2 linked regions of the Canis lupus familiaris genome follow. The protein of the gene in region 1 purifies or fractionates together with the protein of each later gene. This does not show direct contact. Links are inferred from orthologs where the notes say so. Each region holds a gene or a part of one and is shown in the gene's direction. Other genes may lie near its edges.

Region 1 (3,645 bases):
GACGTGTCCAGTGGACCGGAGCGTTGTGACGGTCGCCCACTTGCGCCCAGTACCTCGGATCATGCGGAACATGTTGTCAAAGCTGCAGATTGCCTGCGACAACGCTGTGTTTGGCTGTAGTGCTGTTGTCCGGCTTGACAACCTCATGTCTCACCTCAGCGACTGTGAGCACAACCCCAAACGGCCTGTGACCTGTGAGCAGGGCTGCGGGTGAGATTACTTCCCTTCCTCTGCCCTGCACAGATGAGGGCCTTCTGGTTGATGACCACCCTTCCCGCACCCACACTCCCTGTCCCCAGTCCCCCATCTCCAGAGCCCCTGCTCACCAGCTCGGGAGCTCTCCGAGCGTGAATGTATGCAATGAGCGTCCTTGGCCTCCCTGGCTCCCCGCCCTAAGATCTGACTTCGGTGATGCTTTTTCAACTAGGATCTTTTTGCTCTTGTTTGAATGAAAGAGAGGAGGAAGCAGGTCCCAATCTGCGTGCTAGAACTAAGGGATGACTCCCTCTGTTCTTCCCCGTCAGCCCAGTACTCCTTTTTCTTTGTCACTATGACTGCTCTAATTTCGAGGCTTCTCATAGTTCCTTGCGCCTTGTTATTTTCTTTCTTTGGACTGTGAAATATTTGATTAAATGCTGCTGTCTAGCTAGGGCTGTGAATCTAGGGCTGCTCAGAAGGAATGGGTACATAGGCAGAATCTGTAGGAAGAAAGGAGAGCTGTGTGGCAGATAAAACACTCTTAGAAAGTGCAAGAGGCCCAGAGAAGGTAGAGAGCAAAGGAGCATGGGGGGCGGGGGCACGGGCGGGGCTGCTGGGGAGAAGGAAGTGAAGGGAATAAATAAGAGGGAGGCCTGAATGTTAGACACCTGGGCTAGGAGAAAAGCCTGTCGGCATCTCCTGCCTTCGCCCACGTGACCCATTGAATGCCCCTGTTCTGCTTTCCTCCCCACTCCGGGTGGCAGCCTGGAGATGCCCAAAGATGAGCTGCCAAACCACAACTGCATTAAGCACCTGCGCTCCGTGGTACAGCAGCAGCAGACACGCATCGCTGAGCTGGAGAAGACCTCAGCTGAGCACAAGCACCAGCTGGCGGAGCAGGTAGGGCCCAGAGATCATTGAGAGAACCTGCCTCTCATGTGCAGGTAACTGTGGACAACTGTGTGTGTGTGTGTGTGTGTGTGTGTGTGTGTGTGTGTGTGTGTGTGTGTGTGTGTACATGCCACGTGTGTGTGCAGATGACGGGGTAAGAAGCACCCGTGTGAGCAGGTGGGTCTGTGCCTGTGCTCGTGTGTCTGTGTGAACAGATGCTCCGCCTGTGGCTTGGTTGGGAATCGGATGGGAGCTCTTCTCCTTCTCCATCCCGTCAATGTTACTCATTCACCTAACATTTATTAAATGCCCCCTCTAAGAAGGTCCCCGCCAAGCACTCGGGTTACACTAGGAATGAGACAGTCCCATCCCTGTCTTTGTAAAGCTTACAGGTCTGGTTGTTCCTCGCATCTCTCAGCTGTCCTCATTCTAAGACACACTTTCGTCTTCCATTTGTTGTCTACCCTAACCGTCCTCTCTGATTCTCCTTCCCACCCACAGAAGCGAGATATCCAGCTGTTAAAGGCATACATGCGTGCAATCCGCAGTGTCAACCCCAACCTTCAGAACCTGGAGGAGACCATTGAATACAATGAGATCCTAGAGTGAGTGTCACTCAGGACATGGAGTCACTTGCTCCACGTCCTGGCACTGAGCCCTGAAAGGAGGAAGAGCCGGGGAGTGGCAGAAGGAGGGTAGTAAGAGGGCTGGGCTGGGGCCACGGCGTTTCAGATAATTGGGATGAAGGACAGGAAGAGAACTTTCAGCACCACTATAGGATCTTAAATTCTTTTGGGTGGATTGAAGGGAAAGCTTACCCAAGGATTCAATTCATCTGGACTTAAGTGAGTATGCACACGTACAAAGCCATGTTAAAGGCTGTGGGGAAAAAAAAGGCTGTGGAGTGCTGGGAGGGCCAAGAAGAAGGAAATACTGTCCTTATTGTCAGGTAGCTTACAACCCAGAGGAGTGAGTGAGTGCAAATCCAGGAGAGTGATCTAAAATGCAGCATAAACAAGCAAAGTCTAAAATCTGTTTCAGTGCTGGGGTTGTGTACGATTCACAGACTAAATTCTTAGTGTGAATCAGTATATTATATAATGCAAATGGTGCTGTGTGGGACACAGTATACAGGAATAATTGCTTCATCCGATAAACATTTACTGAGCACTTAGTACATGCCAGGCACGTATGTTCTATGTATTGGGGTTTCTAAGAAAGATGACAGGAACTCTTCACTTGTAGAGTTTAATCTGCTGAGTGACATGTTGGGACTCCTAGGGGACCAGCTAGAAAGATGTGGAGTTTCTGAACCAGTGATGGAAAAAGGAAAATGGAAGGTCAGGGTTGAGCTGAGCGCAGAGCAGGAGAAAAAGCCAATGCAGAGAAGGGGAATGAGCTGGAATGACCACCTCTAATCCCCTCCACACAGGTGGGTGAACTCCCTGCAGCCAGCCAGAGTGACCCGCTGGGGAGGGATGATCTCAACCCCAGATGCTGTACTCCAGGCTGTAATCAAGCGCTCCCTGGTGGAGAGTGGCTGTCCTGCCTCTATTGTCAACGAGCTGATTGAAAATGCCCACGAGCGTAGCTGGCCCCAGGGTCTGGCCACCCTAGAGACCAGACAGATGAACCGGCGCTACTATGAGAACTACGTGGCCAAGCGTATCCCTGGCAAGCAGGCTGTTGTCGTGATGGCCTGTGAGAACCAGCACATGGGTGATGACATGGTGCAGGAACCAGGGCTTGTCATGATATTTGCGCACGGCGTGGAAGAGATATAGGAGATCTCGACGGGCTAGCAGGAAGAGATGGCAATCAGAAAACCCATCACTCCAGCAGCTGGTCCCTGAGTCCTCCCTACTATTCATAGTACCGTGGCTTACACATGGGCCACACGTTTCCCTACTCTTCTGGCACTGAAGGGCCCAGGGCACTTTGCTCAACCTTTCAGGTGGGAAACCCAGATTCCTTCCTTTTGCCTGATTTCTTCCCCTAAGATGTCTGTAAATTTTCAGTCAGTTTGGGAAAGTCCCCACCTCTATATCTGTTTTCCTGCCTAGGGTCCCTGGTTCTAGATATTTTTAGAAAGCACAAAGAATTCATTTTCTCTAGAGGATCAGGGTGGAGTGAGGAATATCTAATCGTTCCCCCTCCTCCAAAACCAGGGAATCGGAGCAGGCAGGCTGGTTGACACTAAACAGCATGAGAGGGCAGCTCTGGGGAGCAGACATCCTGAAGAAATGGTAGGGATGGAATCAAAAACCCTAGAAATTAGCAATGAGGCCAGTAACTGGCCCCCTTAGGGGAAGACTGGACCTCTGTGCCAAGCAATATCCTGTCCGGCCCACCTTACAGGTGTAGGCTCCTGCTGGTTCTGCAGGTGTGCAGGTTGGGATGCTGAAAATTTCTAGGTGACTCTTCTTTCCTACATTTTTTCATAACTAGGGAATGACAGGGTTGGGGGTAGGGGATTAGTCTGTTGGGGTGGATGTGCTCAGCAAGAAGCAGCTCTCTGGCTTTTGCTGAAATCAGGTAGGCACTGCCTCTGGCATG
Region 2 (3,645 bases), on another chromosome or scaffold:
ACTTGGATTAAGTCAGTGGTTCTCACCTTCTGGGATGGGAGTGAGAGGTGGAGGGATGGGGAAGCATGTATTCAAACACCTGGAAGCATCCTCAAAAAATACTCGTTGAGCTTGAAAAGTCAAAAGTAACCTAAGTTATGCACTACTAATATAAATCACCCCTCTCATGGGAGGAGTGTTCAGCAGATTCTTGCATCTAACTGAGTGACTTCTAAAATTTATTTTTTTTTTCATTTAAAAAGGATTTTTTTTCTGAGAGAGAATCTCAAGCAGACTCCCCACTAAGTGCATGGTAGGGGGTGTGGCAGGATCTGATCCCAGACCCTGAGATCATTACCTGAGCTGAAATCAAGAGTGGATCGCTTAACTAACTGAGCCACTCAGGCGTGCCCTGAGTGACTTTTTTAAACATCAAGAAACTTTAGTAAAAATGATTAACCTTAACAAAAATTAGTAACCTTTCCTTAAGTTCCCTTCATAGGACTTGTGCCATTTTGCATTCTTCCCAGTGATATAGGACTTTTCCTGCTTCTCCATAACTTCCGCAATAGAATGCATTGTCAGATGATTGAATTTTTGCCAATCTGATAGGTGAGAAATGGTATCAGGGTGTAGTTTTAATTTGCATTTCTCCATCTTGAATAGGGTTGAACATCTTCCTATGGTTATAAGCCATTTACCTTTCTTTTCCTGTGAACAGTTTTTCATATCTCTAAGACATTTTAATATAGGTTTGTTGGCCTTTTGTTTTCTATTTTATGAAGCTCTTTTTTTTTTTTTTTTTTAAAGATTTTATTTATTTATTCATGATAGTCACAGAGAGAGAGAGAGAGGCAGAGACACAGGCAGAGGGAGAAGCAGGCTCCATGCACCGGGAGCCCGACGCGGGACTCGATCCCGGGTCTCCAGGATCGCGCCCTGGGCCAAAGGCAGGCGCCAAACCGCTGCGCCACCCAGGGATCCCTATGAAGCTCTTTATGTATTTAGGATATTAACCCTTTGTCAGTGCAATAAACTGCAATTTTTTCCCCGGTATTGTTTATACTTTTACTTTCCTATGGTACGTTTTTTTCATGTAGAATTTGCTTATCAGGGATCCCTGGGTGGCGCAGCGGTTTAGCTCCTGCCTTTGGCCCAGGGCGCGATCCTGGAGACCCGGGATCAAATCCCACATCGGGCTCCCGGTGCATGGAGCCTGCTTCTCCCTCTGCCTGTGTCTCTGCCTCTCTCTCTCTCTCTCTGTGTGACTATCATAAATAAATAAAAGTTAAAAAAAAATAATTTGCTTATCTAATTAAAAGTATCCATTTCTAAAAAAAATCAATTTCTTTGCATATCAATTCTGGATTTCTGAATTATGATTATTATTGCGTTATTTTGCATGAAAACTTACAATTTAAATAGTGAAAAATTGAGCAGTCCCTCCTGTGTAATTATGATGTGTTCTACCCATATGCATTTTTAATTTTAATTTTAGTTATTTTTTTTGCATTTTGTTTATTAGTATGCATTCCAAGTTAAAGTCTATGAGGACAGGATTCCCCCTGAAATGAAGATTTGCCTGCTTATGGAAGAGGCCCCTTGGGAATAATGCCACCAAGGATCTTCAGAGCAATTATACCAGTGGCCTCAGCTAATCCTGTGGGGATCTCTGGAGCTGGGAAAGCTACTTATAGTTGTTTTGAATTGAGGCAGGGAGGCATGGACCAGTCATTGCATGTGGGCACCCCTATGGAGGGCACATGACCTTGAATGAGGTGGCTGTCCTCAGCCAATGGCATCACTGGGAGGGGACTCATCTTTGAGGTCTTGTTTAGGGGAACACGCACCCCAGTTCTTAGGAGGCAGGGGATCTGGCTGGAGTGGCACAGCATCTTCCCCCGGGTACCCTCTCTGGCTTGATCACTGCTGTGTTCTCTACGCCTAGTTGCACCCGGCACATAATAGGTACTCAGGAAGTCTTTGGTGAGAGAATGAAAGGCACAGAAGAATAGAAACCCAGATTTCTGGGTCTTGGACCAGGCCAACTGGATCTTAATGTAGGGGTGCAGGGGCAGGGGGAGAACCCTGGGCAGGTGTGATCAGGGTCCTTTCTTCACATGCTTCTGTCCCGCTGGGTGTTCTAGAAGGCCCCTTTGGCTCACTGGTTGGTGCTGGTGAAGGCTTGGATGTGGCTGGGCTAGGCTGGGCAAGGAGGGGGCCCTCAGTGGAACTCTAGGCACCTTGACTACTCTATGATGCACATCACCCACATGAGCTTTCTGTTTTGTTTGTATGTTTTAATTTCTTTCTAGCATTCCTTGAAGAAAAGAGGAACCCGCTCCCTGGGGAAGACAGACAAGAAGCCTTCGGTGCAGGTATTTCCTGACGGTCCCCATGGCCCCCAGGGCAGCCCCCACAGGCAGGTTTGAATCTGAAGGGCCGAGGCCTAACTCCAAGTGGTCTGGGGGGTCCCTGGAGGTGCCCACTCTTCCCCAGCCTCAACCCCACCCTCTTTCATTTTCTTAGCTTCGATACTCACCTCACTTCCCAAAACCATGCCCGGAGCCCATGGTTCCCATCCTGACAGATAAAGTGCTATATATAGATGTAGCACAGGTCAGGCATAGAGTACAGTTAGCCTCAAGTGGCCCTGGATTGTCAGGGTGCTAGGCACTTCTTGTGCATTATTTCATTTAATCTTCCCTATGGCTCTATGAGGAAGTGATTTTATTGCACCGTTTTACAAATGAGGACACCCTAGTAGGAATGGAAGTCGTAGTAGCAGCAACAGTTGCCTGGCAGGATATCACCTACTCTAGAAAGCCCGCCTGGACTTCCCAGGCTGTACTATGCTCCATCTTTGCTGCAATGTCAAGGAGGTATCCTTCTCTCCTTCCCCTGCTCCTTGAGAGTCAGAGCCTAGTTGGATTCATTGCCCTACCCCCAGCACATAGTTATTGCTCCCCAAAATGCTGTGGCTGGTACTGAGCCTCGCGATGCTAACCTTCCTGGATCATGTCTGTCTCTGTGCCCATCGGGCCCCAGGAGGACAGTGCAGACCTGAAGTGCCAGCTGCACTTTGCAAAGGAGGAGTCAGCCCTCATGTGCAAGAAGCTCACCAAGCTCGCCAAGGAGAACGACAGCATGAAAGAGGAGCTGCTCAAGTACCGCTCCCTCTACGGTGACCTGGACAGCGCTCTGTCCGCCGAGGAGCTGGCCGATGCGCCTCACTCTCGGGAGACCGAGCTGAAGGTACATCTGAAGCTGGTGGAGGAGGAAGCTAACCTGTTGAGCCGCCGCATCGTGGAGCTGGAGGTAGAAAACCGAGGCCTGCGGGCAGAGATGGACGACATGAAGGATCACGGCGGTGGCTGCGGAGGTGCGGAGGCGCGCCTGGCCTTCTCTACACTGGGTGGCAGTGAGTGCGGCGAGAGCCTGGCGGAGCTTCGGCGACACTTGCAGTTTGTGGAGGAGGAGGCTGAGCTGCTCCGACGCTCCTCGGCAGAGCTGGAGGACCAGAACAAGCTGCTGCTGACCGAGCTGGCCAAGTACCGCTCAGAGCACGAGCTGGACGTGACGCTGTCGGAAGACAGCTGCTCTGTGCTCAGTGAGCCCTCGCAGGAGGAGCTGGCAGCTGCCAAGCTGCAGATTGGGGAGCTCAGT

What was found.
Region 2: the proteins of RNF41 (region 1) and SOGA1 purify together in Homo sapiens (affinity purification with mass spectrometry; 3 studies listed by BioGRID and IntAct, with this or other methods). This does not show direct contact. The link is inferred for Canis lupus familiaris from reciprocal best matches to the Homo sapiens genes RNF41 and MTCL2.

The regions. Positions count from the first base shown.
Region 1 is NC_049231.1:867,077-870,721, reverse strand, and holds part of RNF41 (E3 ubiquitin-protein ligase NRDP1), read left to right. Parts: coding exon 1-210; intron 211-962; coding exon 963-1,098; intron 1,099-1,590; coding exon 1,591-1,694; intron 1,695-2,521; coding exon 2,522-2,873; 3' UTR 2,874-3,645. UniProt on the Homo sapiens protein: Acts as E3 ubiquitin-protein ligase and regulates the degradation of target proteins. Polyubiquitinates MYD88. Negatively regulates MYD88-dependent production of pro-inflammatory cytokines.
Region 2 is NC_049245.1:26,124,220-26,127,864, reverse strand, and holds part of SOGA1 (protein SOGA1), read left to right. Parts: intron 1-2,294; coding exon 2,295-2,357; intron 2,358-3,027; coding exon 3,028-3,645. UniProt on the Homo sapiens protein: Microtubule-associated factor that enables integration of the centrosomal and Golgi-associated microtubules on the Golgi membrane, supporting directional migration. Preferentially acts on the perinuclear microtubules accumulated around the Golgi.